4 linked regions of the Anolis sagrei genome follow. The protein of the gene in region 1 interacts with the protein of each later gene in a biochemical or structural test. Links are inferred from orthologs where the notes say so. Each region holds a gene or a part of one and is shown in the gene's direction. Other genes may lie near its edges. The genes, in order: HDAC4, ZBTB16, NR2C1 and CAMK2D.

The links.
Region 2: the proteins of HDAC4 (region 1) and ZBTB16 form a complex in vitro, tested with the Homo sapiens proteins (2 studies listed by BioGRID). The link is inferred for Anolis sagrei from reciprocal best matches to the Homo sapiens genes HDAC4 and ZBTB16.
Region 3: the proteins of HDAC4 (region 1) and NR2C1 form a complex in vitro, tested with the Homo sapiens proteins (2 studies listed by BioGRID). The link is inferred for Anolis sagrei from reciprocal best matches to the Homo sapiens genes HDAC4 and NR2C1.
Region 4: of the proteins of HDAC4 (region 1) and CAMK2D, one has a biochemical effect on the other in vitro, tested with the Homo sapiens proteins (2 studies listed by BioGRID, with this or other methods). The link is inferred for Anolis sagrei from reciprocal best matches to the Homo sapiens genes HDAC4 and CAMK2D.

The regions. Positions count from the first base shown.
Region 1 is NC_090021.1:159,870,526-159,877,992, forward strand, and holds the start of HDAC4 (histone deacetylase 4), read left to right. Parts: upstream 1-4,458; 5' UTR 4,459-4,628; intron 4,629-4,782; exon of another isoform or gene 4,783-4,803; intron 4,804-5,155; exon of another isoform or gene 5,156-5,303; intron 5,304-7,467. UniProt on the Homo sapiens protein: Responsible for the deacetylation of lysine residues on the N-terminal part of the core histones (H2A, H2B, H3 and H4).
Region 2 is NC_090027.1:42,594,883-42,601,820, reverse strand, and holds the start of ZBTB16 (zinc finger and BTB domain-containing protein 16), read left to right. Parts: upstream 1-3,933; 5' UTR 3,934-4,156; intron 4,157-6,938. UniProt on the Homo sapiens protein: Acts as a transcriptional repressor. Transcriptional repression may be mediated through recruitment of histone deacetylases to target promoters. May play a role in myeloid maturation and in the development and/or maintenance of other differentiated tissues.
Region 3 is NC_090025.1:155,090,925-155,098,899, reverse strand, and holds the start of NR2C1 (nuclear receptor subfamily 2 group C member 1), read left to right. Parts: upstream 1-4,968; 5' UTR 4,969-5,290; intron 5,291-7,975. UniProt on the Homo sapiens protein: Orphan nuclear receptor. Binds the IR7 element in the promoter of its own gene in an autoregulatory negative feedback mechanism. Primarily repressor of a broad range of genes.
Region 4 is NC_090025.1:33,138,176-33,145,947, reverse strand, and holds the start of CAMK2D (calcium/calmodulin-dependent protein kinase type II subunit delta), read left to right. Parts: upstream 1-4,770; 5' UTR 4,771-5,830; coding exon 5,831-5,895; intron 5,896-7,772. UniProt on the Homo sapiens protein: Calcium/calmodulin-dependent protein kinase involved in the regulation of Ca(2+) homeostatis and excitation-contraction coupling (ECC) in heart by targeting ion channels, transporters and accessory proteins involved in Ca(2+) influx into the myocyte, Ca(2+) release from the sarcoplasmic reticulum (SR), SR Ca(2+) uptake and Na(+) and K(+) channel transport.

The DNA.
Region 1 (7,467 bases):
TGCAGATAGCTTAAAGCCGAAAGGAAGGCTAGTGGCCAACGGTGCTGGAGGTGAATGACGAATCCGATGCTCTAAAGAGCAACACACCAAATGAAAAAGGAAAGAGGGTCCGACCAAGGACAAGATGGATGGATGGCATCCTAGAAGTGACTGGATTGACCTTGAAGGAGCTGGGGGTGGTGATAGCCGACAGGGAGCTCTGGTGTGGGCTGATCCATGAGGTCACGAAGAGTCGGAAGCAACAAAATTTAGTTTCTAGAAGTAGGAGGTCTGGTTTTTCTAAGGATGTTTCAGGGTCACATTAAATTTGAAGAGAAAGTTGGGTAAATACTACATGCTACAAGTTACATATATCTATTACAGATAATTAATGTAATATAATATTATAACATATATGTATGCATGAAGATTATTGGCTTTTATATATACATTTGGTGGATATTTAAGTTGGAGAAGCAATATGTACAATATAAGTTTATTTATTTATTTATTGTGTCAGGGGCAGACCAAACAGTTGCATTGCATTTTTTTAACAAACAAAACAAACAAACAAAGCTTGTCAGTTTGCAAAGTTTGCAAGCTTAGTAGTTGATTAAATGTCCTTTGACCAGTAGCTGGCCACTTGGAGTGCCTCTGGTGTTGCTGCAAGAAGGTCCTCCATTGTGCATGTGGCATTCACTCAAGTTTAAGACATTTTCAACCGAAAATCCATGCAAACTATTCCTAACTAGAACTGTTTCCATCTAGATAACAGCAATAGTGCCATCAGCTACTTCTTCCCCACCCCCCCCCCCCATATCATATGCAAAAAAACAAAAAAAAAAAAAAACCCCAAAAAACCCCAATGTATTTTTTTTTTAGGAAATTCCTTACAAGGCAAGAAATATATCTTCATGATCAAGAGAGTTTCAGAGTATGTCCAAATACATCCTGATATCACATTAATAAAAAAAAAAACATAAGAATGGGAGCAGGCAACAAAGTACTCTCTTATGACTAGAGCTTTCTAACTATTTTACATACACAGGCATGGGCAACTGCAAAAACCCAATTTGTTTTTTTTTTTAAGATATTTTATTATGTTATACACACAGATCAATAAGCCAAATTCCAAGTGTTACACATATAAATCCTGAGTCATTCAACAAATATTAAAGACATTATGTTAATTTACTCTGGTGTATATTACATTATCTCCACCTTCCCTCCCTCTCCCTCCCTCTTTAACCACAGTATATTTCTACTAATCTTGCAGATCCAGCCACTGGTAGAGTCTTTGTATTTTTTTTTCTTTGATGTGATCGTTGGCTTCTCCATTTTTCACCCAGTTGAAGTAGACCTTCCATCTATTTGTAATGATCTTTTCTTTGTCCATTCTTGGTGTTTGCTTAGTCATAATTCCCGTAATATCTAACAGCACTTGGTCATACATATAATCATTCCAATTACTTAACGTCCATTTCGATTTGTCTTTCCATCCTCTAGCAATCACCGCATGGGCTGCTCTTATTGTTACCTTAAATAACTCCTGGCAATTAGTTATTATACTCGGATGATCCAACACTCCCCATAGTAGCAAATCATTATTAATTTGAATTTTTATCTGGAATATCTCCTGAATTTTTCCTTGTATCAAAAACCCAATTTGCATAAATTGAAAAATGTCCAAAATCATTTTGATTATGATTATGATTTTTGATTATGATTTATTTATTTTGAACATTTCTACCCTGTCCTTCTGTTATGCACTCATATGCACACATGCGGATCTACTTATATATATACTAAGATGTTCATATTTGTGCATATACATTCCAGTGAAAAACGGAGTGAATTTTTTAAAAACCTCTTCCATTGGATGTCCCTTGTACATCCTCCATCTTGGAGATATGATAGCTTTGTATAAATATGTCAGAGGAAGCCACAGGGAGGAGGGAGCAAGCTTGTTTTATGCTTCTCTGGAGACTAGGACAGGGAACAATGGCTTCAAACTACAAGAAAGGAGATTCCATCTGAACATGAGGAAGAACTTCCTGATTGTGAGAGCCGTTCAGCAGTGGAACTCTCTGCCCCGGAGTGTGGTGGACGCTCCTTCTTTGGAAGCTTTTAAACAGAGGCTGGATGGCCATCTGTCAGGGGTGATTTAATTGCAATATTCCTGCTTCTTGGCAGGTGGTTGGACTGGATGGCCCATGAGGTCTCTTCCAACTCTGTGATTCTATGATTCCATGATTGTTCCGATACAGAGGAAGGCTGTGAGGATGGCAAGGGACTCAATCCCGGGATTAACAGGTCTGTGTGGGGATCTGCAGTCTGGGATTTTTGTCATCATTTAAAATGCGGGTTTTGGCACTGTCTGGAAGCACTCTAAGAGACTGTAGCTGGACTGGAACGTTCCTGTCTTGAACCAGAAGAGAGTGAAAACAATACTTTGCAGTGGTCCCCTTTGGCACTCTTTTGTCACCCAGCAATCCACTTGGTAGAACCAGGAAACCAGCAGCTCTACAAGCAGTGTAATAACAAGCTGGCCATTGAGCTTTCTTGGCTAGGAAGAGCTTCCTATTTGGACTGAGTGCTTTAATGATGAACAGGAACAATCCTCCTGTTTTTCGGTGTATTCTTTAGTTCTGACTGCTGTTTGTTCCTTTGGTCAGGCTGCCGGGCACAAATCCCGATTCCTGGCATCCATCTGCCTGTTGCCTATGACCAAGTTCTGGCACTGCCACCCTGGCTGGCTTTCTGTTTCTGGCACATTTAAAAGAACATTTTCTTGTGTGCTTTAATGTTTTTGAGCAATATGTTCCTTGGATTTATTTATTTATTTATTTTGCTTGCCTTGTCATCAGTTTAGGATTATTATTTTTTTTTAAAAAAAACAATAACAGAATATCTTGTGGGAGTGGAAACATATTTTTGTTCTCCCAATTTTGGTAAGATGTCTATTGACTTTTGACAGGTTCTTTCAATATAATCACTCTTTGCTACAACTGAGAAAGCAACACAAAAAGAACTTTAATGTGGGCACCTGGCTTGATGACATTCTCCAGCTATATTGCTCTACCTGAATCATTCGCCATCACAGCTTTAAAACACTTTACATGCCATGTATTTGGCTTTTTAGATTTACAGGGATAGCTCAGGAAGTGCAAACAATGAAGTGATTCTATGGAACAAGTATATATGATCAGGTGAGAATAAGAGTAGAAGGGACAGAAGTCTAGAGAAGGTGGACAACTTGACCAGCTGGTGATTGAAGATGTGCTAGGTAGTTGACATCCTGCCTCACACACCCCGACCTCAGTCTAGTCTTACTGGAAGCCAGGTCAATTGTGAGCTCAGGAAACCTACTATTATCATGAATACTACAAGCAGAAAGAAGAGTAGTTTTCATCATGGTGCCCAGGATCTTTGGTGTGTCTGTCAGCATAGCTTACAAAAATAGCAGGTTCTGAAAGTACGGTATCACTTAGACAAATGGTGTTTGGCACGAGTGGCAGTTGGGCATGCTTCCAATACATGACCTAGTTGGCTGGTGAATTAGCCTGTTGAACCTAGAAGGCATAGAGCCGGGGTCCTCAAACTTTTTAAACAGAGGGCCAGGACACAGTCCCTCAAACTGTTGAAGGGCCGGATTATAATTTGAAAAACAACCCATGAATGAATTCCTATGTATTCCTGACTGTGAGAGCCGTTCAGCAGTGGAACTCTCTGCCCCGGAGTGTGGTGGAGGCTCCTTCTTTGGAAGCTTTTAAACAGAGGCTGGATGGCCATCTGTCAGGGGTGATTTGAATGCAATATTCCTGCTTCTTGGATATTTCAAGGTACACAACCTCGGCTTTGGATATGAAACATTCAATCCCCCTGAAGCTATGTAAACACGGTGTACAGAGAGGCATTTTCTGTGGCGACTTGGTTCCACCTCCATTTTTTTGGTCGTGTCAGGAGCGACTTGAGAAACTGCAAGTTGCTTCTGGTGTGAGAGAATTGGCCTTCTGCAAGACGTTGCCCAGGGGATGCCCGGATGATTTGATGTTTTTATCCTTGTGGGAGGCTTCTCTCATGTCCCCGCATGAAGAGCTGGAGCTGATAGAGGGAGCTCATCCGCCTCTCCCGGGAGACCTCCATGGTGGCTGCCTATGGCCTCCAGTTCTGTGTGTGAGAGAGGAAAGAGGGGAGGGCGACCCTCTTTGTTTGCTTGCCCCTTCTTGCCGGCGTGGGCTTTGAGATACATGGCAAGAGAGAGAGAGAGAGAGAGAGAGAGAGAGAAATCTGGCCGGAGACTCGCGAAGAGAGCCACGCCTCCCGCTTCCGAAATCAGCCGAAATCAACTCCACTTCCGGCGTCGGAGAAAGGAGGGGGAGAGCAAGGGAGGAGGGAAACGTTGCTATTAATAGCCCCGCTCTCTGATTGGCCCGCGGGAGCAAAATAGGGGGGAGGGAAAAAAAAAAGGAGGTTTGTACCACGTGACTTTCCATCTGAAAACTCCAAGATGGCGGGTCCCGTCACGGGCTGATTCCGTTGGCGGCGCGCGCACCGTTGTGCCAGCGCCGAGGGCTTGCCTGCCTGCTTGCTTTCCTCCCTTCCCCGCATTCTCTGCGGGTCTTGCCGTCTGAATGTCTCCGGCTGAGGTAAGTGCTTGGCCCGGAAAAAAAAACCCCGTTCTGAGGCCAGTTATTATTCTGCAGTCGTTATTCGCACTTCCCCTTTAAACAAAAAAGCGGGGGGAGAGATAGAGGGAAATTGTGTCCTCCGGCTTTTAAAGCAGCCTTAAAGGGTCCCTTTCTGTTTCGAAACGTGTGCCTGGTAAGACCCCAACCGCGGTGGGAGGGGATGCAAAGGAGGAAGAGCGCGCGGAGGGAGGGAGGGCAAGGAGGGGGAAGGGCAATAGAATGCCCAGGGCTGGAGTGTGTGGGGGTCGCGCGCGCGGGGAGGGGGGGTAGTAGGAAGGCGGCTGAGTGGCGCTTCGAAGCACCAATCAGGGCCCCGTTGGCCGCCTTGGCGGGTGCTTTTGAGCCCATGTTCTCGGATGCCCCGGCGTTGGGTGAAGAGGCGGGGTGAGGGTAGGGGCGGGCCTTGAGCCCTTGACTGACACCTGCTCCGACCTATCGGAGGGGAGCCGCCCTTTCGGCGGAGAGCGCCGCTGTATTTACCCCTTCGCTGGGAACCCATCCCTCCCTCCCTCCTTCCTTCCTTGCCTCGCGCGCTGGCTCCGTTTTATGAATGAGGCGGGTGGGTCCCGGAGCCGCGCCCGTCTCGCCTCCCAAGCAAGCCCCTCCCTCTTCCTCGCCTTCTGGGCCGAAGGGGTGAGTAGAGCGTGCGCTTCAGGGAAGGAGGGAGATGCGGTGGAGCCGAGGGCGAGGCTGGGCGGTGTCCCGGCTGCCAAGAGGAGGGAGGAGAGGAAAGGAGAGGAGAGGAAGGCCGCTCGCCTTTTCGCCTGCCTCAGGGCACGATTTCAGTCAGGCAGTCGGTCAGTCAGTCATCCTCCTGCGGTGTAATGGCTGGGATATTGACAGAGGAAGAAGAGCAGGCCGGGCCTTCTGAATGGAGCGCTTTGACTCCTGGGAAAATGGCCCTGGCAAAGAACAGCCTCGGTGCGGTCCTTTCCAGGCTGTGGTACCCGAAGCTTTTGTCTGGGCAGCTCTGCTGATAGATAAGCAGGAGCAGGCCCTCTCTCTCTTGTTTGAAGCAGGAGCGATCAGGCCTCTCCTAGGATTTAAGGCTCTTTGCTGAGTCCACCCCACAGGGTTGTAGGCAAAATGGAAAGAGGAAGCCAAACGGAACCTCCAGGAAAAAGGATGGGGAAACAACCGTCTGCCAATGTGCATGTCTCATGTGCTCTTTCTGTGGGCCCTTCCGCACAGGCATATAACTCAGTATATCAATCAATCAAATCATTGATTGATTGCAGGTGAAACGTCACGAGAAATGCCTCTAGAACATGGCCATATAGCCCGAAAAAACCCACAAGAACTGAATCAAATCATTTATTTCGGTCATTGACCAGCACAGGAAATAGAGTCACATTTTCATACAAACTTGGTATGTTTGGTACATTAAAAATATAAATATAACTACTAAAGCACAATATGGGTGAGGGAGCAGAAGGGGAAACAGGTTAAAAACATACAATGCCCAGATCCATCACCAAATTGCAGATTCAGGGAAGAAGATTACTGGACACACAGTTGACTTTGGGACTAGTCATTCCCTGGCAAATTTTTTATGCTGCTGCACAGAACTTTGCAACATTGTAGGTTGTAGCTGAATTAGTATCTGCAAGTAGCATGGAGGTATAAAATTGTCCTGAATGGCCTGGGTGCTTGTATATCAGAGGTAAGATAAGCCTGGCACGGATATCCCTGTAGAACGGGCTCCCTCAGTATATCATAGAACAGTCTTTCTCAACCTGGGGGTCGTGTCAGGAGGGACTTATTTATTTATCGTGTTATTAGCAACCATACCATTGTATTACATTTTTGACAGAACAAAACAAACAAACAGATTTTTAAAAAACACAGATTTTGCAAACTTGGTAGTTGATTAAATGTCCTTTGACCAGTATCTGGCCACTTGGAGTGCCTCTGGTGTTGCCGCAAGAAGGTCCTCCATTGTGTGTGTGGCAGGGCTCAGGGTGCATTGCAGCAGGTGGTCAGTGGTTTGTTCTTCTCCACACTCGCATGCCGTGGATTCCACTTTGTGGCCCCATTTCTTGAGGTTGGCTCTGCATCTCGTGGTGCCAGAGCGCAGTCTGTTCAGCGCCTTCCAAGTCGCCCAGTCTTCTGAGTGCCCAGGGGGGAGTCTCTCATCTGGTATCACCCATGAATTGAGGTGCTGGGTTTGGGCCTGCCACTTTTGGACTCTCGCTTGCTGGGGTGTTCCAGCAAGTGTCTCTGTAGATCTAGGAAAACTATGTCTTGATTTAAGTCGTTGACGTGCTGGCTGATACCCAAACAGGGGATGAGCTGGAGATGTTTCTGCCTTGGTCCTTTCACTATTGTCTGCTACTTCCCGGCGGATGTCAGGTGGTGCAATACCAGCTAAGCAGTGTAATTTCTCCAGTGGTGTGGGGCGCAGACACCCTGTGATAATGTTCAGGCAGTGCTTCTTGTAGGTCAGAGCACGGTCCAGAGTGACTCCCGGGTATTTGGGTGTGCTGCAATGCTCCAGTGGGATTCCTTCCCAGGTAATCCTCAGAGCACGGGATGCTTGTCTGTTCTTAAGGTGAAAGGCGCATGTCATGGGTCATCCAGTCCAACCCCCTGCCAAGAAGCAGGAATATTGCATTCAAAGCACCCCTGACAGATGACCATCCAGCCTCTGTTTAAAAACTTCCAAAGAAGGAGCCTCCACCACACTCTGGGGCAGAGAGTTCCACTACTGAACGGCTCTCACAGTCAGGAAGTTCTTCCTCATGTACAGATGGAATCTCCTCTCTTGTAGTTTGAAGCCATTGTTTCATGACCTAGT
Region 2 (6,938 bases), on another chromosome or scaffold:
TCTCTTCCTCCCTCCCTCCATTCATTTTCTTTCTTTCCCTTTCTCTCTTTCCATCCCCTTTTCTCTTCCTCATTCTCTTCTGCCTTTCCCGCTCTTTCTCTTTTCTCTCTCTTCCTCCCTCCTTCATTCCTTCCCTTTCTTTTTCTTTCTATCCATTTTTCTCTTTCTCGTTCTCTTCTGCCTTTTCCTCTCTTTCTCTCTCTTTCTCCCTCCCTCCATTCCTTCTCTTTGTTTTTTCTTTCTCTTTCTCTCTTTCCATCCCCTTTTCTCTTTCTCCTTCTCTTCTCCTTTCTCCCATTCTCTCTCTTCCTCTCTCATTCCCTTTCTCTTTTTTCTTTCTCTTTCAATCCTCTAGTCTTTCTCCTTCTCTTCTGCCTTTCTCTCTCTCTCTCTTCCTCCCTCCTTCATTCCCTTTCTTTCTTTCTCTCTTTCTCTTTCTCTCTTTCTATCCCCCTTTCTCCTTCTCTTCTGCCTTTCCCTCTCTCTTTCTCTTTCCACTCCCTCATTCTTTCTTTCCTCCTCTTTCCCTCTCTTGCCACCCCTCCTTTCCTCTTTCTCTCTTTCCAACCTCCTTTCTCTTTCTCCTTCTCTTTTCTCTCTCCCTCCTTCATTCCCTTCCTTCCTTTCTTTTTTCCTTCTCCTTCCATCCCCTCTTTCTCCTTCTCTTCTGCCTATCCTTCTCTTTTTCTTTCCACTCCCTCACTCTCTTTCTTTCCTCCTCTTTCCCTCTCTTGCCATCCCTCCCTTCCTCTTTCTCTCTTTCCACCCCCCTTTTCTTTCTCCTTCTCTCTTCTCTTTCTCTCTCCCTTCCTCCCTCTTTCATTCCCTCCCTCCCTCCCTTTCTTTCCATCCCCTCTTTCTCTTTCTCCTTTTGTCTTTCCCTCTCCCTTTCTCTTTCTTTCCTCCTCTTCCCCTCCCTTGCCATCCCTCTCTCCCTCCTTCTCTTTCTCTCCTTTCTTCTCTTTCTTTCTTCCTTCCCCCCTTCTCTCTCTCCCTCCCTCCTTCTCGGCGTGCCAATCCACCCGCGTGGGGGCGCCCACGAGCCCTGGCCAAGCAGGGGACTCCACTCCTCCTCCGCTTCCACACACGCAGACACGTGCCTTGGAGAGAGAATCCCGCGTGGGCTCCTGTCCTGGGGTCGGGAGTGGAGAAGGAGCCTTTGTCTCCCTTGGGAAGGGTCCCTGCCTTGGGGAGGGGTCTCTCTCTCTCTCTCTTTCTTGGGTGAGTTTGGGGCAGAAGCAGCAGGTGCCTGATGGGGGCGGGGCTGAGGGAGGAGGGGGCGTGGCTGAGGGAGGAGGGGGCGTGGCTTTCCCACCCTCCCTCCTATCAGGCGAAGCCACCACCGCTTCCATGTTGGATCCGGGCAAAAGCCAGAAAGCGCTGTCCAGCAGGAGCAGGAAAGTCCCCACTCAAGTAGACCCACTGACCACGATCATGATCCAAGACCTGGAAACCTTGCATCATCCCCCTGAGGAGCGGCTTAAGGACCTGGAGATGCTTATCCTACAAGAGGGAAGGGTGAGAGGAGACATCAGGGCCATATTCCAATATTGGAAAGGAGGTCACAAGGAACCCATTCACCACTATCATGAACCAAGACCTGGAGACCATGCATCATCCCCCTGAGGAGCGGCTTAAAGACCTGGAGATGCGTATTATCCTGCAGGAGGGAAGGGTGAGAGGAGACATCAGGGCCATGTTCCAATATTGGAAAGGAGGTCACAAGGAAGATGAGGAAGAGCTTTCTGGCCATAAGGAGAGCTGTTCAACAGTGGAACTCTCTGCCTCGAAGTGAAGTGGAGGCTCCTCCTATGGAAGTGTTGGAGTTGTGCCTTCCTTTATAGAATCATGGAATAATAGAGTTGGAAGAGACCACTATCATGAACCAAGACCTGGAGACCTTGCATCATCCCTCTGAGGAGCGGCTTAAGGACCTGGAGATTCTTATCCTGGAAACATCAGGGCCATATTCCAATATTGGAAAGGAGGTCACAAGGAAGAGGGAGCAGCTGAAGATGAGAAAGAGCTTCCTGGCCATAAGGAGAGCTGTTAAACAGGGGAACTCTCTGCCTCAGAGTGAAGTGGAGGCTCCTTCTTTGGAAGTGTTTGAGTTGTGCCTTCCTTTATAGAATCATGGAATAATAGAGTTGGAAGAGAGCCCATGGGCCATCTAGTCCAACCCCACTCTGCCATGCAGGAAAAGAACAATCAAAGCACACCTGATAGATAGCCATCCAGCCTCAATAATAATGATAATAATAGTAGGGTTGGAAGATAGTCCACGTGCCATCTAGTGCAACCTATTCTGCCATGGAGGAAAATAACAATCAAAACAACCCTGACAGATGGTCATCCAGGCTCAGTAGTAATAGTACTAGGAGTAGGAATAATAATAATAATAATAATAATAATAATAACAATAGGGTGGGAAGAGACCCCCATGGGCCATCTAGTCCAACCCCCTTCTGCCATGCAGGAAAGGCACAATCAAAGCATCCCCAACAGATGGCCATCCAGCCTTAATAGTATTAGTAGTAGTAGTAATAATAATAATAATAGAGTTAGAAGAGACTCCATGGGCCATCTAGTCCAACCCCTTTTGCCATGCAGAAAAGCACCATCAACGCACCCTTGACAGATGGCCATCCAGCCCCAATAATATTATTATTAATAATTATAATAATAAATGGAGTTGGAAGAGACCCCAAGGGCCATCTAGTCCAACCCCTTTTGCAATGCAGAAAAGCACCATCAAAGCACCCTTGACAGATGGCCATCCAGCCTCAATAATCATAGAAATCATCGAATCCTAGAGTTGGAAGATACCTTGTGGGCCATCCAGTCCAACCTCATTCTGCCAAGAAGCAGGAAAATCTCCTTCAAAGCACCCCTGACAGATGGCCCTCCAGTCTCAATAGCAACAACATTAATAACAGTAATAATAATAGAGTTGGAAGGGACCCCATGGGCCATCTAGTCCAACCCTACTCTGTCATGAAGGAAAAGCACCATCAAAGCACCCTTGACAGATGGCCATCCAGCCTCAATAATAATAATAATAATAATAATAATAATAATAGAGTTGAAAGAGACCCCCAAGGGCCATCTAGTCCAACCCCCCTTCTGCCATGCAGGAAAAGCACCATCAAAAGTACTCCAGACAGATGGCCATCCAGCCTCAATAATAACAACAACAACAACAACAACAATAATAATAGAGTTGGAGGGGACCCCATGAGCCATCTGAAGGAAAAGCACCATCAAAGCACCCTTGACAGATGGCCATCCAACCTCAATAATAATAATAATAATAATAATAATAATAATAATAATAATAATAATAGAGTTGAAGGAGACCCCAAGGGCCATCTAGTCCAACCCCATTCTTCCATGCAGGAAAAGCACCATCAAAGTACTCCTGACAGATGGCCATCCAGCCTCAATAATAATAATAGAGTTGGAAGGGACCCTCTGGGCCATCTGAAGGAAAAGCACCATCAAAGCACCCTTGACAGATGGTCATCCATCCTCTCTTTGAAAGTCTCCAAGGAAGGACTCTGAGGCAGAGAGTTCCACTGTTGAAGAGCTCTTCAATGTGTCAGGTGGTTTTTCCTCATGTTCAGGTGGCAGAAGGGAGTTGGGATGGATGACCCTCGAGGGAGAGCCCCCTGACTGCGAGAAAGCACCCAGAGTCTGGATGGCCTTCTGTCGGGAGGGCTTAGATTGTGAAAAGAAAAAAGCTGGAATGGCCACGGAGGTCCTTTCCAAACTCTGTGCCGCCTTCCTTCCCTTTGCCTGGGTGCCCAAAGTGAGGTGCCAGGAGCCAAGATGGAGCCTGGTCGGTGGAGGGAGGGAGGGGAGGGGGCGGGAGTGGGCGTGGCGAGGGGGGCGTGTCCTCGGAGGGGGCGTTTTCCCTCGGGTCCGCTCCTCAGCGGCGCCTGCTTGCCCTCCTCGCTCGCCTCGCCGCCCGGCCAGAGAGAGAGACGCGCGGAGCCGGCGCTGCCAACTCGCGGGCGATGCTGCTCCTCCGCCCGCCGCCGCGTCTTCCTCTTCCTCTTCTTCCTCCTCCTTTTCCTCTTCCTCCATCCTCTTCCTCCGGCCCTTCCGAGACCCTCTCCAGCCTCCTTTGCCCGGGGGAAAGAAGCCCCCCAAACCGGTGAGTCTCCGCCGAACCCAACTCTTTCGTGGGGCGCAATGCCGAACCCAACTCTTTCTTCTCCTCTCGGTGCGTAATTACGCACGAGGACGAGCTCTCCCTTTGGTCTCCTAATTCCAAGGACCTGTTTGGTCCCCTTTCCTTCCAAAACTGGCTCGAGTCCTTGCTTGGGTCCTTCCCTTCCTTTCTGGGGGCAGTTTTGCAGGTTGCGTCCCAGGGAAAGAGGGCAAAGAGCATGTGCAGAAGGCGAACCGGGGCGCAAAATATGTATTCTTTCTCCTTTTGGTGCGTAATTAAGCACGAGGACGAGCTCTCCTTTTGGGCACCTCGTTCCAAGGACCTGTTTGGTTCCTTTTCCTTCCAAAGCCGGCTCGAGTCCTTCCATGGGTTCTCCTCTTCCCTTCTGGGGGCAGTTTTGCAGGTTGCGTCCCAGGGAAAGAGGGCAAAGAGCATGTGCAGAAGGCGAACCGAGGCGCAAAATAGGAAAGCATGGAGACCGAGCGACGGAGAGGAAAGAGAACCTGAAGAGCACCTTTGGAGGAGCAGAAGAGCATCCATAGCTCTTCGGAGTAGCAATAATAAGGAAGGGGAGGATAGTCAGGAGTCGGAGGAGTAGCAATACTAAGGACTGGGAGGAGAGTAAACACTCGGAGGAGTAGCAAGCAACAATAAAGAGAGTAAATATGGTCAGGAGAGGAATGGCTCTTCTTGGACAGAGGTGGAAGGAGAGAGAGAGAGGGTGCCCCCGTTTGTTTGGCCCCTCTTCTCTCCCAAATACTTACTTACTCTTCTCTCCCAAATAGTAAGGACGGTAAAGAGAAGGATCACAATGACAATAGCTCTCAGGATGGTCAAGATATCAAGGATTGTAAGGATGGGATTCGGGATAATAATAATAATAATAATAATAATAATAAGAATAGTCAGGGTGTGTTGTGGAAGGCTTTTTAATGGGTTGCTGGAGAAGAGAAGGCTTTGTTTGTTTTTCATGACTTGAGAAATTGCAAGTCGCTTCTGCTGGGAGAGAATTGCCCGTCTGCAAGGATGTTTTGATGTTTTACCATCCTGGTGGGAGGCTTCTCTCATGTACCCTTTGTACGAGGAGCTGGAGCTGATGGAGGGAGCTCATCCGCACTCTCCCCGGATTCAAACCTCCAACTTGTTGGCCTTCAGTCTTACTGGCGCAAGGGTCTGCTTTACCATCCTTGTGGGAGGCTTCTCTCATGTCCCCTTTGCATGGGGAGCTGGAGCTGACGGAGGGAGCTCATCTGCGCTCTCTCCAGATTCTAACCTCCAACCTGTCAGTCTTCAGTCCTGTCATCAAAAGGGTTTGCTTTACCATCCTTGTGGGACACTTCTCTCCTGTCCCTACATAGGGAGCTGAAGCTGACAGAGGGAGCTCATCTGTGCTCTCCCCGTATTCATACCTCCAACCTGTTGGTCTTCAGTCTTGCCGGCACAAGGGTTTGGTTTACCATCCTAGTGGGAGGCTTTTCTTATGTCCCTGCATGGGGAACTGGAGCTGACGAAGGGAGCTCATCCATGCTCTCCTCAGATTCAAACCTCCAACCTGTGGGTCTTCAGGCCTGCCAGCACAAGGGTCTGCCAGCACAAGGGTTTGGAGCTAGAGCTGACGGAGGGAGCTCATCCACGCTCCCCCCAGATTTGAACCTCTAGCTTGTTGGTCTTCAGTTTTGCTGGCACAAGGGTCTGCTTTACCATCCTGGTGGGAGGCTTCTCTCATGTCCCCACATGGGGAGCTGGAGCTGATGGAGGGAGCTCATCCGCACTCTCCCCAGATTTGAGCCTCAAATCTGTAAGTCTTCAGTCTTACTGGCACAAGGGTCTGCCGGCACAAGGGTTTGCTTTACCATCCTGGTGAGAGGCTTCTCTTATGTCCCCACATGGGGAGCTGGAGCTGACGGAGGGAACTCATCCACACTCTCCGACTTGTCGGTCTTCAGTCTTGCTGGCACAATGGTCTGCCAGTTCAAGGGTCTGCTTTACCATCCTTGTGGGAGGCTTGCCTTATGTCCCCGCATGGGAAGCTGGAGCTGATGGAGGGAGCTCAGCTGTGCTCTCCCCAGATTCGAACCTCCAACCTGTTGGTCTTCAGTCTTGCTGGCACAATGGTCTGCCAGTTCAAGGGTTTGCTTTACCATCCTTGTGGGAGGCTTCTCTCATGTCCCCGCATGGGGAGCTGGAGCTGACAGAGGGAGCTCAGCTGTGCTCTCTCCAGATTTGAACCTCCAACCTGTCAGTCTTCAGTCTTGCTGGCACAAGGGTCTGCCAGCACAAGGGTTTGCTTTGCCATCCTTGTGGGAGGCTTCTCTCATGTCCCCACATGGGGAGCTGGGGCTGATGGAGGGAGCTCATCCGCGCTCTCCCCAGATTAGAACCTCTAACCTGTCAGTCTTCAGTCCTGCTGGCACAAAGGTTTAACCCATTGCACCACGGGGGCTCCTTAGAAGACTGAGAGGAGGCGTGATGAGGGCCATGTATCAAGAGGTGAGGGGAAGTCAAAGCAAGGAGAGAGCTGCCCTGAAGCAACAGAGCAATGGCTTCAAACTACAGGAAAGGGGATTCCACCTGAACATTAGGAAGAACTTCCTAACTGTGTGAGAGAGCTGTTCATCAGTGGAACTCTCTGCCCCAGAGTGTGGTGGAGGCTCCTTCTTTGGAGACTTTGAAACAGGTGGTCATCTGTCAGGAGTGATTTCAATGCGATTTTCTTATAACTTGGTAGAATGGGGTGGACTGGGTGGCCCACAAGGTTGCTTCC
Region 3 (7,975 bases), on another chromosome or scaffold:
ACCCTCTGGACTGTGACATATGTAATTAACATTTTCATCACTCAAGAAAATGAGCCATGCTGGTACAGAGCAAGGATCTATCTAGTTTTGCTCTCTTTCAGACTCTGGCCATGGAATTGCCAAAAAATATCCCACAAGCAGTACAGGTGTGCAGAAGCATTCTTTATCTTGCATTCCCCAACCTTTGAGGGAAATGGTAATATAGTTTTTGTAGTTTATCCTTTGTACATTAAGACACCTTAGAATGGGACAAGTAATCAGGTTCTGGTTTATTTTATAAGCAATGTTTTCTCATGAACATTCAGTCATTTCAACATTTAAAATCAAATGAATGAATCTGTTTTTTATTATGAACAGGACATAGAGGTCTTCAGATATCTCAGTGTCACAGAACTTGAGATATTTAACAGGTTTTTTCTTTCAGTTGCTCTTACCGAATTTTCAAGTGCTTCTTATGTTGAGTGTATAAAGACTGCACTCTATTGTTAATTAGTAAATGAAAAAACAGACCTTTAACACTACAGATTAAAACAGTTTAAAATAACTGCAAATAGTTGTTTTTATCAAAACTAGTTTACAAATGCCTTCCTCCTCCACATTGTTGTAAAACAGGAAGTACAGACCTGTTCTTCCAAAATACTTTGACGGCTGCGAATTTTTTCTTCCCCATGATATGGACTTTTCCCCATGGTGAACAAAATGAATGTGCTTCTATTAATTACTTTAGAGGAAAGAAAGGAAACAAAATCAGCAGGAGGAATGGCCTGTAAATCAGTTTGTGTGCGTTTTAAGACTGGCAGAACTAAAAGTTAGATGCTAAAAGCTATAACCAGTTACGTGACAGCTTCTGCTACTGCACTGTGTTTCTATCAGAGCTAGAATTATATTGTCAACATGTTAATAGATCCCATTGATCCAATGGGCCTATATAAAAGAAGAAATAGATTGAGACCACAGTTCAACTTAGCAACCGGTTCTGAATGTATTCTATACCAATAATCTATCAAAATGGGGGAAAGTACTGTTTTGTACCATTGCATCCCACTCTACACTTGCCACTCCAATTCCCCAACAAACATAGAAAGTGGCCACGTTGGCTGGGAGAATATAGAAATTGTGTTCTTAAAAAGTACATTTTCCAGGTTCTGCCCTTTCTTCTTCAATAGTTTCTGTTCTGTATAGGGGAGACTACCTTGCTTGTTACTAAGAAATTACATTTTTCCCATTTCTCAGCTTATCCGTCCTAAATCTGTTCTGTATTTAGTTGGCACAGGGCTACGTGCAGTGGAAAGAAGGAAGTTTGGCCAGGAGTGTTATGTCTGCTCCTTAATTTTTGTTCAGAGTGAGAAATAGAAAAGAAACATTTTCAAACAAATGGGGAGAAAAGGATGGTGAGAGACTGGCCATGGGGTTTTTTTTATATACAGAATATATTATCTTGGCTGTTAATTGTGTCCAAGAGTAACGATGGTATTTCATCATATGGATATATAATGCAATTATATCACTATGCCCTTTAGTTGCTGTGATGCTGAAGCTGAGGACAAATGAGGAAGTATTGGTGCCCTGCCTATATTTATAGATATTTTTGATCAGAAGGCTGACTTGTTCTTTCCTGATGATTCAGGGTGGGACTGGAATGCTAAAACTGGAATGCCACACAACTCTCATTTCTTATCTACTACTAGTTAATGCATTTTCATAAGATGAACTAGCACTGCTGAGAAAAACGACTTAATCGAAGAATGTCAGCACATCAGCAAAATCCCAAATGCCACAATTCAATTTCACTTCATTTAATTTCATACAAATCTCCCAATTCACAACTATATTCCCAGCCAGCTACAGATACTAAAATAGTACTGTGCCAGCTAAAAATCCAACTAGAGTACTAATCAAAACAGCCAAAAAGCTTTGACCGAAGCATTCAAAAGCAGCATTAGATCAAAGAATGCTCTGAAGTTTAATTGACAAATAAATAAATAAATAAATGGAGGCAAACTTTTGGTTCAGTTTATCCTGAAAATAATACTATTTTCCTTTCCGGATTTTGTTTTATGTTTCTTCATCTTCAGCCAGTTTTTTACCCATCCCAATCAATGAGCCAGCTTTGATAATTCGGTGACTACAATATATAGTATCTGTTTTCCTTGTATTACAAGAGAACATGTAATCTGCAGATGGTGAATTGCAATTCTTATACGCATTAGCCAGAAGAGAAAGCAGTGAAATGGATGCTATTTTTTAAAACCAATGTCAGTATCATTCATTACACAAATGACAACTAAGCACTTTGCTGCCTTCTCTATAGCATATACATATGAGATCTGGTGTCATGATAATCCTAAAACAGAACTTAGAAGTGTTGCAGAAAAGGGCAACTAATACTCTCATGGGCCTGGGGCACCTTTCTGCACAAGAAAAACATGTTTGAATTATTAAGAATTTGAAAATATAGACAAAATGTAATGTGGGGCAACTGTGGTTTATAAAAGCCTATACCATCTTGAGAAAATATTGTTTGCTTTCATATTCTTAGGTCATCTACTGAAATACTATAGTTTCAAAATAAAATGTTTATCAAATGATGCATGCAGATCCAACTAAGGTAGCCTTTTGCAGCTAACAGATGGTAATTCTGTCAGTTCTGATCGTTTTTAAGTACAGGCCACGGTCTTTAGGCACTGCACCCAGTGTGTTGATGACCACTGGGACCACCTTTACTGGCTTGTGCCAGTCTTCGCAGCTCAATCTTTAATTCCTCATATCGTGTAAGCTTTTCCAGTTTATTCTTGTCAATCCTGCTGTTGTCTGGGATTGCAACATCGACGACCCATACTTTTTTTGTGAGATCAGGAGTATTGTGCTTCAAAACTCTATCAGTCTGAATTCAGAAGTCCCAGAGTAGTTTGATGGTTTCATTTTCCATAACCTTTTCAGGTGTGTGATCCTACCAGTTCTTTGTCTCCAGTAGATTGTTGTTGTTTATTCGTTCAGTCTCTTCCAATTCTTCGTGACCTCATGGACCAGCCCACGCCAGCGGTTCCATCGGCCTTCACCACCCCCAGCTTCTTCAGAGTCAAGCCAGTCACTTCAAAGGATACCATCCATCCACCTTGCCCTTGGTTGCCCCCTCTTCCTTTTTCCTTCCATTTCCCCTAATATCATTATCTTCTCCAAGCTTTCCTGTTTTCTCATGATGTGGCCAAAGTACTTCATCTTTGCCTCTAATATCCTTCCCTCCAATGAGCAGTCAGGCTTTATTTCCTGGAGTATGGACTGGTTGGATCTTCTTGTTGTCCAAGGCACTCTCAGAATGTTCCTCCAACGCCACAGTTCAAAAGCATCTATCTTCCTTCCCTCAGCCTTCCTTATGGTCCAGTTCTCATATCCATATTCTGACATACTGTGGGGAATACCATTGCTTTAACCATGTGGATCTTTGTTGCCAGTGTAATGTCTCTATTCTTCACTATTTTATCGAGATTGGTCATTGCTCTCCTCCCAAGAATTAAATGTCTTCTGATTTCCTGGCTGGAGTCTGCGCCTGCAGTAATCTTTGCACCTGGAAATACAAAGTCTGTCATTGCCTCCACGTTTTCTCCCTCTATTTGCCTCCAGCAGATGGTATTATTATTATTTTATTATTAATATTAATGTTACAGATGGCCTGCAGGGTCTCTCTCAAATCTGTAATTCTAAGTAAGGAGATACACACACACTTAGGCGATCCCTCGTTGTCCGAGTAGGATTGTCTTCCAAGATCGGTGTACTGATGGTGGGTCCATAGGTGATTGTGGAGCCCTATTCTTGTTCTGCATGTTCTCCCACAGTGAGGGCATTGGTTTGCAGGTGGAAGCCGGTCCTGATTGGGGTTGGCTTTACACGCCTTCCTCTTGGCACGTTTCTCTTTCGCCCTCCATTCATGCCTCTTCAAATTCTACAGCACTGCTGGTCACAGCTGACCTCCAGCTGGAGCGCTCAAGGTCCAGAGCTTCCCAGTTCTCAGTGTCTATGCCAGAGTTTTTACGGTTGGTTTTGAGCCCATCTTTAAATCTCTTTTCCTGCCCGCCAACATTCCGTTTTCTGTTCTTGAGTCGGAGTAGAGCAACTGCTTTGGGAGACAGTGGTCCAGAAAAAATGGCTGGTCCAGCGGAGTTGATGGCGGAGCACCATCACTTCAATTCTGGTGGTCTTTGCTTCTTCCTGCACGCTGACATTTGTTCACCTGAGATTTGTAGGATTTTTCAGAGGCAGTGCTGATGGAATCGTTCTAGGAGTTGCATGTGATGTCTGTAGACAGTCCATGTTTTGCAGGCGTATAGCAGGGTTGGCAGGACAATAGCTTTATAAACAAGCACCTTGGTATCACTATGGATGTCCTGGTCCTTAAACACTCTGTGCTTCATTTGGAAAAATGCTGCACTCACAGAGCTCAGGCAGTGTTGAATTTCAGTGTCAATGTTGACTTTTGTGGAAAGGTGGCTGCCAATGTAGTGGAAATGGTCAACATTTTCTAATGTTACACCATTAAGTTGTATTTCTGGCATTGGAGAGGGATTGGCTGGTGACTGCTGGAATAGCACTTTGGTTTTCTCGGTGTTTAATGAGCTTTATAAACAAGCACCTTGGCATTCCTATGGATGTTCCGGCCCTCAAACACTCTGCACTCGCAGAGCTTAGGCGGTGTTGAATTTCAGTGTCAGTGTTGACACTGAAATACAACACATACACACAAACATACACATCCCATCACACACACAAACATGTTGGAGAAAACAGCCCATCTAAAAGCATCACTGGCTGATAGGGGTTTTTGGCCCAGTCCTTGAAAAGGCCCACCAATAGCAGGAGGTTATAGCAGGAGGTTGTGGAGAGAGAGAAGATAAAAGAGAGGCTCACCGTCGCGCATGCGCAGAAGACGCTTAACCTGACCCTGAGGTAGACCATTCAAAAGGCTGTTCCCTTCCCCCGTTACTACTCCCCCCTCCGTCGCCATGACGACGCGCCTGGCTCTTCTCCCTTCTCTTCCCCTTCCCTTCTTCCCCCGCCGTGCGTGCGGCACGGTGACACTCGCTCCGCCTCCGCCATGGGCTCGCTTTGCGCAAGCGCAACCGGGCCTTGAAGCGGCGGCGGTTGTGGCGGCGGCTGAGGGGACGGAAGGAGGGAGGGGCGCCGAGAGGAGAACGTGAGCGTAGGCCGCGCGAGGCGGGGCCGGGGTCACGACCTCTGACCTCCCGCCGCCGTCAAATAAGCCCTGAGGGGGCTGCGGATGCGTCGCGCCTGTCAGGTCAGTCGGGGGCGGGGGAACGGGAGGAGGAGGAGGAAGGAAGGAGCTGGGGCGGACGGGCGAGGCCTTCCCAGGCCCTTCTTGCCTTCCTTGAGGGAGCCTCCCGAAAATGGAAGGAGGGGAGGAAGGGCGGGAGGAAGGGCGTCCTGGGCGCCGTGCTCCGCTCAGCCTCGCAATGGCAGCCGAGCAGCCGCCGCCCCCCTGACCTTTCACCCACAGGAAAGGCTTGCGTCTCCCCTCCCCGGATCCAGGCCGCGCCCCGAGGCCCGCGCCTCTCTCTCCGCAGCCCAGCCGGGCTTCCTGGGCAGGGAGGGAGGGACGGAGGGAGGGAGGAAGGGGCGCCGGAGGGGGCGACAGCAGCCATGTTGGGGCCCCTGGGTGACAGCCGAAAGGCGAGAGGGAGGGAGGAAGCAAGGCAGTCTCTGCTTCTTTGCTTCCAAGCTGCACACAAAGAGAATCTCGTGAATACATTGCGCTGTTTTCGCCGTGAACCCTTAGATAATTTATTTATCGTGTCAGGAGCAAACCAAACGGTTGTATTAAAAACAAAGTTTGCAAACTTGGCATTTTATTAAATGTCCTTTTTCAGTAGCTGGCCACATGGAGTGCCTCTGGTGATGCTATAAGAAGGTCTTCCATTGTGCATGTGGCAGGGCTCAGGTTGCATTGTAATAATAATAATAGTAATAATAATAATAATAATAATGAAGCTGACACGATATGAGGATTTAAAGATCAAACTGCAAACACTCTGCCACAAACCAGTAAAGGTGGTCCCTGTGGTGATTGGCACAAACCAGTAAAGGTGGTCCCAGTGCTGATCAGCACACTGGGTGCAGTGCTTAAAAACCTTGGCCTGCACTTAAAACACAGTTGGCGCTGACAAGATTACCATCAGCCAGCTGCAAAAGGCAACCTTACTGGGATCTGCACCCATTATTCACTGATACATCACACAGTCCTAGACACTTGAGAACTGCCCAATGTGTAATGCAATACAACAGCCAGCAGAGTGATCATTTTTCCTGTGGACTCATCTAATAATAATAATAATAAGTTTGTATTACCCCCCCCCCCCCTTCGTGGGAAAGCTCAATTCCACAATCCTCCTTTTAATAAGCTCCCCTCCGCAAATAACCTGCTTCTCCTTTTATCTCACCTGTGTTTTTAATCAGTTTTTAAATCATTTTCTCGCACATGTAGCCACCCATTGTCACTGTGACTGTGTTTATTGTAATCTTATATCATTAATGTATTCATATGTTTTATGTAATTATGATGTTGTTTGTTGCATGTGTTTTTGGTTTTAATTCGTTGATTGGGCTTGGCCTCATGTAAGCCACCCCGAGTCCCCATTGGTAAATAAAGTTTATTATTATTATTTATTATTATTGATGTTGTCATACGGGGTGACAGTCAAATTGAGGAAAACTTAACCATTATCAGGACCACAAAATCAAACTGCAAAGGCTCTGGCATAAACCAGCACAGGTGGTCCCAGTAGTCATCGGCACACTGGCTGCCATGCCAAAAGATCTCAGCCAGCATTTGGAAACAATAAATATTGAGAAAATCACAATCTATCAACTGCAAAAGGCCACCTTAGTTGGATCTGCACACATCATTCGAAAATACATCACACAGTCCTAGACGTTTGGGAAGTGTTCGACTTGTATTGTCGAAGGCTTTCATGGCCGGAATCACTGGGTTGTTGTAGGTTTTTTTGGGCTATATGGCCATGGTCTAGAGGCATTTTCTCTTGACATTTCACCTGCATCTATGGCAAGCATCCTCAGAGGTAGTGAGGTATTTGTATCTACTTGTGATACAAAATCCAACATATAGATCTCATTTGCTGTGACATACTGCGATTTTGTGTCAGTAAAATAATAATAATAATCTTTATTTATACCCCGCCACCATCTCCCCAAAGGCGACTCGGGGCGGCTAACATGAGACCAAGCACAGAATTACAGTACAAATAAAATACAAACAGCAAATAATAACATCAAAATAAAATACATAAAATAACAGAAAATGCAATAAACAGATGCAAAATAACATGATGAAGAAATAAAATAAAATAGTAAGTGGTCTGTGGTTTGCTCGTCTCCATACTCGCATGTTGTGGATTCCACTTTGTAGTCCCATTTCTTAAGGTTTGCTCTGCATCTCATGGTGCCAGAGCACAGTCTGTTCAGTGCCTTCCAGGTTGCCCAGTTTTCTGTGTGCCCAAGAGGGAGTATCTCATTTGGTATCAGCCATTGGTTGAGGTTCTGGGTTTTAGCCTGACACTTTTGGACTTTCGCTTGCTGAGGTGTTCCATTGAGTGTCTCTGTAGATCTTAGAAAACCATTTCTTGATTTAAAACTATTTCTTCAGAAGCAACCCTTAGATAATAATATATTTATTAATATCCCACTTTTCTCCTTGAATGGGACCCGAAAGTGGCTCACAACAATTTAGAAACAGTACAAATAGCAAACACATATAACAATAAAACCAAATTCTATAAGAATGACATAAATAACCATTCAAAAATCATTTAACAGTTACAGTAGAGTCTCGCTTATCCAACATAAACGGGCCAGCAGAATGTTGGATAATAAGGAGGGATTAAGAAAAAGCATATTAAATGTCAAATTCCATTATGATTTTACAAATTAAGCACAAAAACATAATGTT
Region 4 (7,772 bases), on another chromosome or scaffold:
GAAAAATATCCTGAACTAAAAGAGGTGGGGTGGAATGTTATTATTTTGCAATTACTTGATTCTTTGTTTATGGAGACTGAGGCAGAAGATTAGATTACTGTTTCCGTTATAAATGGGAAGAAACTCAATGATGGCATGCAAACACACATACGAATTGGAAATAATAAGTCTGTTCAGTATTTAAATAACTCAAACTTCCTAATGCCGCAACGCCTTAATACAGTTCCTCATGTTGTGGTGACCTCCAATGATAAAATTATTTTCGTTGCTACTTCATAACTGTAATTTTGCTTCTGTTATGAATTTTAATGTAAATACCTGATATGCAGGATATATTTTCATTCATTGCACCAAATTTGGCACAAATACCCAATACACCCACATTTGAATATTGGTGGGGTTGTGGGGTGTGGTGGTTGATCTTGTCATTTGGGAGTTGTAGTTGCTGTGGTTTATAGTTAATCTACAATCAAAGAGCATTCTGAACTCCACCAATGGTGGAATTGAACCAAACTTGGCGCAAAGAACTCCCATGACCAACAGAAAATACTGGAAGGGTTTGGTCTCTGACCTTGAGTTTTGGAGTTGTAGTTCACCTACATCCAGAGAATACTGTGGACTCAAACAATGATAGATCTGGACCAAACTTGGCACAAATACTCAATATGCCCAAATGTGAACACTAGGCCTGGGTAACAACGCAAAAATTTGTTTCTAAAATTGATTCGTTTTTGGGGGGGTTTTGCGTTTTGTTATTTAAAAGAATTACAAAATTTTCCTTTAAAAGGGTTCGGTATTTACGAAATTTCGTTATTATTAACGAATCGATTCGTTAAGATGGCAGACCCCCCCCCCCGCGCGCATGCGCAAATCACTTTTTTTTCTTTTTTTAGAATATTTTTTGATTTTTTTTAAGAATAAAAGAAATATTTATCAGAAATATTTAAAAATGGAAAATTAACAAAATGCTTGCCCTGTTGTGGAGCAAACACAGCCGCAGGACAGGGACAAACACACACACAGGCACACAAGTTTTTTTTCTTTTTTTAGAATATTTTTTGATTTTTTTTAAGAATAAAAGAAATATTTATCAGAAATATTTAAAAATGGAAAATTAACAAAATGCTTGCCCTGCCCTGTTGTGGGGCGAAAACAAGGCAAAGCCTCCCCGCTGCTCCCAGCCCAGGTCCTTAAACCGCCCTCGCTCTCCCAACAATGAATGTGAATGAATGAATGAATGCAAGCAATGAATGAATGCAAGCAAGCCATGCCTCCCTCCCGCACCTCCCGTCTCCTCGCCTTCGCAATGAGTAATGCGGCCATGCGGAGCCGCTTTTAAAGGGCAGCCCGCCCAATCACAATGAGCCACGGTGCTTGGGAGCGCCGGATTGGCTCCCGGCGCACCCAGCATCCTCCATCCCTAAAACGTCATTTCCGAAACGGGCGGAAGCTCGTAAAAAAGATGGAGGATAGCCGTTTCGATATTTAAAAACACTTCCGGGTTTGAAAATAAGTTTTGTAATCATTTTGTAATTGTTAAAAATAATGAATATTTAACAAATTACAAAATTAACGAACAAAACCGCCCAGGCCTAGTGAACACTTGTTGAGTTTAGGGAAAATAAAACTTGACATTTTGGAGTTGTAATTTCTGGGGTTTATAGTTCACCTACAAAGAGCATTCTGAACTTCACCAATGATAGAATTAGGCCAAACATTCCTCACAAAACCCTCATGCCTTGAAGGGACTCACTGGTGCAAGCCTCCCTCCAACCTCACATACTTTCCCTCTCCCGCACATGTGCACCACGCTGCCATGCACCGAACACGCCTGCTCCCCCCTCCTTGTGTGGAGTCTCAGAAACAGCTCTCCCCTTGGCTGAGAGGCCAGCCAATCACAGCAGGGGGGGCTTATGGTAGGAGGATTTGCCATCTGTTTCCAAAAAGGAAGAAAAGGATAGGTGGAAAGATCTTCGGCCTTCTCTGCCAAAGGTGTTCCTAAGACTATCAGAAAGATACCCCATTCCCCCCCCCCCTTTTTTTCTTCTTCTCCCTCTCCCTTGCCCTACCTCTCACATGTGTTGTAACTCTTTTGTATTTTGTATACGTATTTAAAATCAATAAAAATTTAATAATAAAAAAAGAAAGATATATGTTTTCCGATAGTCTTTGGTGACCCTTCTGAAATCCCCTCATGACCTCCCCCCCCCCCCCGGGGTCCCGACCCCTAGGTTGAGAAATGCTGGTCTAGCTTGACATGTACCACTATGAAACAACATCATACATGAATTCTGACAAGAATTTAATGTTACAGATTTTTGAGTAGTTGTTTTTCGGCCATGGTTAACTTCTCAGTTTATAATTATAGTTGTCAACAGTTATATCTTTGAATTTTGATCTGTATTTTAAATGTCTTCATTTGAAATGCTTTGATGCAATGAAAACTTAAAATACATATAATCAGGATTGAAAAGGGACACTGAGAAATAAGAGGGTGGCATCAAAATGTTCAGGAAAATCATGAGGTTTACAGATACGCATGCCTAAGAGTGCAATACCTAATCACTCCAAAACCCCATTGCATTCAGTGAGGATTGTTAAAAGTGTGCACAGAAATGCAACCTCTCAATGCAATCCTTAACATGACAACTATCTTTGAGCCAGATAATGGAGTGACTTCCAGGGTGGGTATGAGAGCCATATTTAAATATTTGAAAGGATGCTATATTGAGGAAGGGGCAAGCTTGTTTCCTGCTGCTCTGAGACTATTATTATTATTATTATTATTATTATTAACTTTATTTGTACCCCGCTAGCATCTCCCGAAGGACTCGATGCAGCTTACAAACGCCAAGGCCTCAAACTCAACATAACAATACAAACCTAAAGCAAATTAAAAACAATTAAAGCAATATTAAACAGCAAAACAACAAGCAATAAACAATACACCAAAACACAATAAAACCTGGCCGGGCCAGAGTAAAGGGTACAGAATTAAAAGTGCTGATGTGACAGGTGATATGTAAGGATTATTGGGTAAGTGCAATGTGCAGAGTGCGGCAATCTTAGTTCTAATAAAGTGCTTCTGGGACTTGGTATTGGAGATTTCCTATTCTGGGAAGGCACATCGGAACAGTCAGGTCTTCAAGTTCTTTCTGAAGACTGCCAATGTAGGGCCTGTCTAAGATCTTTGGTGAGGGTGTTCCAGAGTCGGGGGCCACCACGGAAAAGGCCCTGCCTCATGTCCGCACCAAACGCACTTGCGACGCAGGCAGGATCACGAGGAGGGCCTTTCCAGATGAATGGAGAGAACGCGTGGGTTCGTAGACGGAGATTTGGTCACGCAGGTAGGGTGGTCCCAAACCGTTCAGGGCTTTGTAGGTAAGCACCTGCACCTTAAATTGGGCTCGGAAGATAAACAGCAGCCAATGGAGCTCCTTGAACAGGAGGGTTGACCTCTCTCTGTAAGGAGCGCCAGTTAACATCCTGGTTGCTGCTCGTTGGACCAGTTGAAATTTCCGAGCCGTTTTCAAGGCCAGCCCCACGTACAGCGCATTACAGTAATCCAATCTAGAGGTGACCAAGGCATGGACCACCCCGGCCAGATCAGCCTTCGCAAGGTACGGTCGCAGTTGGCGCACGGGTCTTAATTGTGTGAAAGCCCTCCCAGACACCGCCGACGCCTGAGCCTCAAGTGTAAGCGATGAATCCAAGAGGACTCCCAAACTGTGGACCTGTGGTTTCAGGGGAAGTGTAATCCCGTCCAACACAGGTTGCCACCCTATACCCCGGTCAGGTTTACGATTGACCAGGAGGACCTCTGTCTTGTCTGGATTGATCTTCAGCTTGTTCCTCCTCATCCAGATAGACACAGCGGCCAGGCACTTGTCCAGGACCCGGGAGGCCTCCTTGGAATTGGGTGGAAATGAGTAGTAGAGTTGTGTGTCATCTGCATAGAGGTGGCACCTAACTCCAGACTAGGACATGGAGAAGTGGATTTTAATTGCAGGAAAAGATATTCTGCCTGAACATTTAGATCAGGGGTCCACAAACTTTTTAAACAGAGGGCCAAGTCACAGTCCCTCAAACTGTTGGAGGGCCGGATTATAATTTGGAAAAACATGAATGAATTCCTATGCACACTGCACATACCTTATTTGTAGTGCAAAAACCACTTAAAAGCAATACAATAATTAAAATGAAGAACAATGTTAACAAATATAAATTTATTACTATTTCAGTGGGAAGTGTGGGCCTGCTTTTGGCTGATGAGATAGGATTGTTTTTATTGTTGTGTGCTTTCAAGTCGTTTCAGACTTAGGTTGACCCTGAGCAAGGGCCGGGTAAATGACCTTGGAGGGCCATATCCGGCCCCCGGGCTTTAGTTTGAGGACCCCTGATTTAGATCAATTTGACTTGTTAATATTTAAACATTAGGAAGAATTTCTTGACAGCGAGAGCTGTTCAGCAGTGGAAGATGCTGCCTTGGAATCTGTGCCTTTTTTCCCCCCTTTGGCAACTGCATTCTTCCCTCTTCACAAGCTCTCTTACAAGCAGCATCCCAACGACGCCTTCTCCTTAAACCAGGTTGGCAACAGTCTCGCGAGAGTTTGGAAGTGGCGCTTTAATTTCCTCCCCCCCCCCCCCTCCCCGCTGCTGCGTTTCCACCCAGAGAGTGGCTGAGCGGGCGCGCGTGTCGGGTTGTGACGCCACCCAAAGCAAAGGGGAGGGAAAAGGAGGGAATCACCCCGGGGGTGGGGCTCCTTCCTCCTCCCCTCAAAAAAGGAAAGGGAGGGGAGATGATGAGGTATCCCGAAAAGCCTCTTTCCTCTTCAGAGGAGCATTTCCGAAAGCCAGGAATGTGTAGACTTATTGGTCCACACAAGAGCAACCAAAATAGAAAAGAGCCGTGAAATCAAGGGAGAGCCCTTCCCTTGGTGGGTGCCTGTGAGACGGCCACCCCCTTCCCAAACACCCGTTTAGGGAGGCCAAAGGATTTTGGAGGGCTGGCGAGGACGTGGAGCTCTCAAGGACTGCGCTCCGTGTGTGTCAACAGAGGCTTAGAGGAAAGGGAGGGAAGGAAGGAAGGAAGGAGGAAGGGAGGGAGGGGAAAGAGCGGGAGAGGTCAGGCGGGCAGCGCGCCGCTTTCCTGCCCAGCGCTCCGGCGAGAGGAAGAGCCCGGCTGTCGCTAGAGGGAGGTGTGGGACCGAGAGAGGAGGAGGAGGAGGAGAAGCTGGAGCCTGAGGAAGGGAGGGAGGAAAGAGGAAGACAGCGAGGAAGGAAGGAAGGGGCTGCTGGTCGCCAGCCTGGCTTGACCTGAAGCGCAGAGTGGCTTTGCGTGGCCAGGCTGGGCGTCGGGAAGGGAACTGCGCCCAGGAGGGCATCCCAGGTCGCCTCCAAAGGGACACTTGTCGCCCTCGCTTCCTCGGCTCCAGTCCGCCGCCTCTCTCTCTCTCCCTCTCTCTCTCGGGACGGATAATTATTAAGCCCGTCACGGTTGCCGTCGGAGTTGCTGCTGCTGCTGCTGCCGAGACTCGCCTCCTTCCCAGCCCAACCCCGAAAAGAAGGGGAGAGGGAGGAAGTGTGGGCCCTCCCTTCTCTCCCGCCCTCCTTCCGCCCCGGGGACGCCCAAAAGGAGCTGCCCAAGAGGGGGCGGGCAGAAGGGCTCGCCCGGACGACGACGCCGAGGACGAGGCAGCCCAGGCGGCGAGGCAAAGGCAAGGGAAGCGGCCGCGCCTTCGCCTTCCTCTTCCCGCCGCCGCCGCTCCTGCTGCTGCCCAGGCCCCCTTCGCTCCGCCGCTTCCTCCCGCCGAAGCCCCCCGCGCCCGCCATGGCCTCCACCGCCACCTGCACCCGCTTCACCGACGAGTACCAGCTCTTCGAGGAGCTCGGGAAGTGAGTGGCCCCGCGGGGAGAGGGAGGGAAGGAAGGAAGGAAGGAAGGAAGGAAGGAAGGAAGGAAGGAAGGAAGGGGGAATGCAAGGAGGGAGGGAAGAGGGAAGGAAGGAAGGGATGCTGGAAAGGAAGAGAAGGAAAGAGGGAATGTAGGAGGAGAGGAAGGAAGGAAAGGGAAAAAGGAAGGAACGCAGGAAGGGGGGAAGAGGGAAGGAAGGGATGCTGGAAAGGAAGAGAAAGAAAGAGGAAATATAGGAGGAAGGAAGGAAAGGGAAGAAGGAAGGGATGATGGAAAGAGGGAAGGAAGGAAAGGAGGGAAGAGGGAAGGAAGGGATGCTGGAAAGGGAGAGAAGGAAAGAGGGAATGTAGGAGGAGAGGAGGGAAGGGAAGGGAAGAAGGAAGGGGTGATGGAAAGAGGGAGGGAAGGAAGGAACGCAGGAAGGAAGGGGGAAGGAAGGCATGCTGGAAAGGAAGAGAAGGAAAGAGGAAATGTAGGAGAGGAAGGAAGGACATGGAAGAAGGAAGGGATGATGGAAAGAGGGAGGGAAGGAAGGAACGCAGGAAGGGAGAGAAGAGGGAAGGAGGGGATGCTGGAAAGGGAGAGAAGAAAAGAAGGAATATAGTAGGAGAGGAAGGAAGGAAAGAAGGAAGGGGTGATGGAAAAGGAGAGAAGGAAAGAGGGAAGAAGGAATGTAGGAAGAGAGGAAGGAAAGGGAAGAAGAGGTGAGGGAAAGGGAGGGAAGGGAAAAGGGAATATAGAGGGAGAGGAAGGAAGGAAAGGGAAGAAGGAAGGGATGATGGAAAGAGGCAAGGGGGAAATGGGTCCGTTTTGAGGGCTGGGAGGCCAGGCGCGCATGGGCTGGATGTGGGCCTTCATCCCCTTCCAAGGGAGGGGTGTGTTTGAAGTCCGCTCCGTGCCTCGGCCCGCCCTTGGCCCAGGGTCATTGGCAGCATCTCCTCACGGGAGAAGGGAGCCCACCCCTGGGCAGCTCCAGCCCAGTCCCCGCGGAAGAAGGGCGGCAGAAAGAGGGGGAGGCGGAAGGCCGAGGTGCCGGTGGGGAGGGAGGGAAGGAAGGAAGGAGGCGCAGCTGCCCCCATTCCGCGGACGAAGCCGGCTTTCCGCTTCAGACGCTCGAGGTGCCACGTTTACCGAGGCAGAAAGTTCAGCGCTCTCAGGTCGAGCGACTCCTCCATGCCGAGCTTCCCTTCCACTTCCTCCCTTCACAGAATTCTGACAAGAATCAATCAGGGCTAGCTAGCACCTCCCAACAAAGGATTCCCCAGGCAGCAACCAGCCAGTCTTTGAAGCTGCCAAACCATTGAATGCTAATTAAAGTGGCCAGTTGCTACATTCACACCTGCCTCAAGAAGAGGAAAGTTCTTTCTCCCACCCTGGGCATTGCACAGATATATAAACCTCACTTGCCTAGTTTCCAACAGACCCCTCAACCTCTGAGGATGCCTGTCATAGATGTGGGTGAAACATCAGGAGAGAATGCTTCTGGAATATGGCCATACAGCTCGGAAAACTCAGAGCAATCCACAAAATCCTTCATCAGATGAGTTTTGGGATTTTCTCCCCTTCTCACCTGTCTTGGGTGGGAATGGAAGAAACTGGGGCGTCCACAGGAGCGAAGGGAATGGGCCTCTGGTTCACATGCATGGCTCAAGTAGGAATGCCCATTTAAGTTTTCAAAATAATAATAAAAAATAGCGACAGAAATCAGTGTATGGCATAAGACATCATCACCTCCACTGCCTGTTGTGATGGGAAAGGAGCGCTTGGGATTCAGTACACTGACCTTGCTTTCCCTTGTGTTTTCATATATATGATCCCCAAAGTGTAAAGTCAATTCTGGAAATAGAAAAGACCTCAAA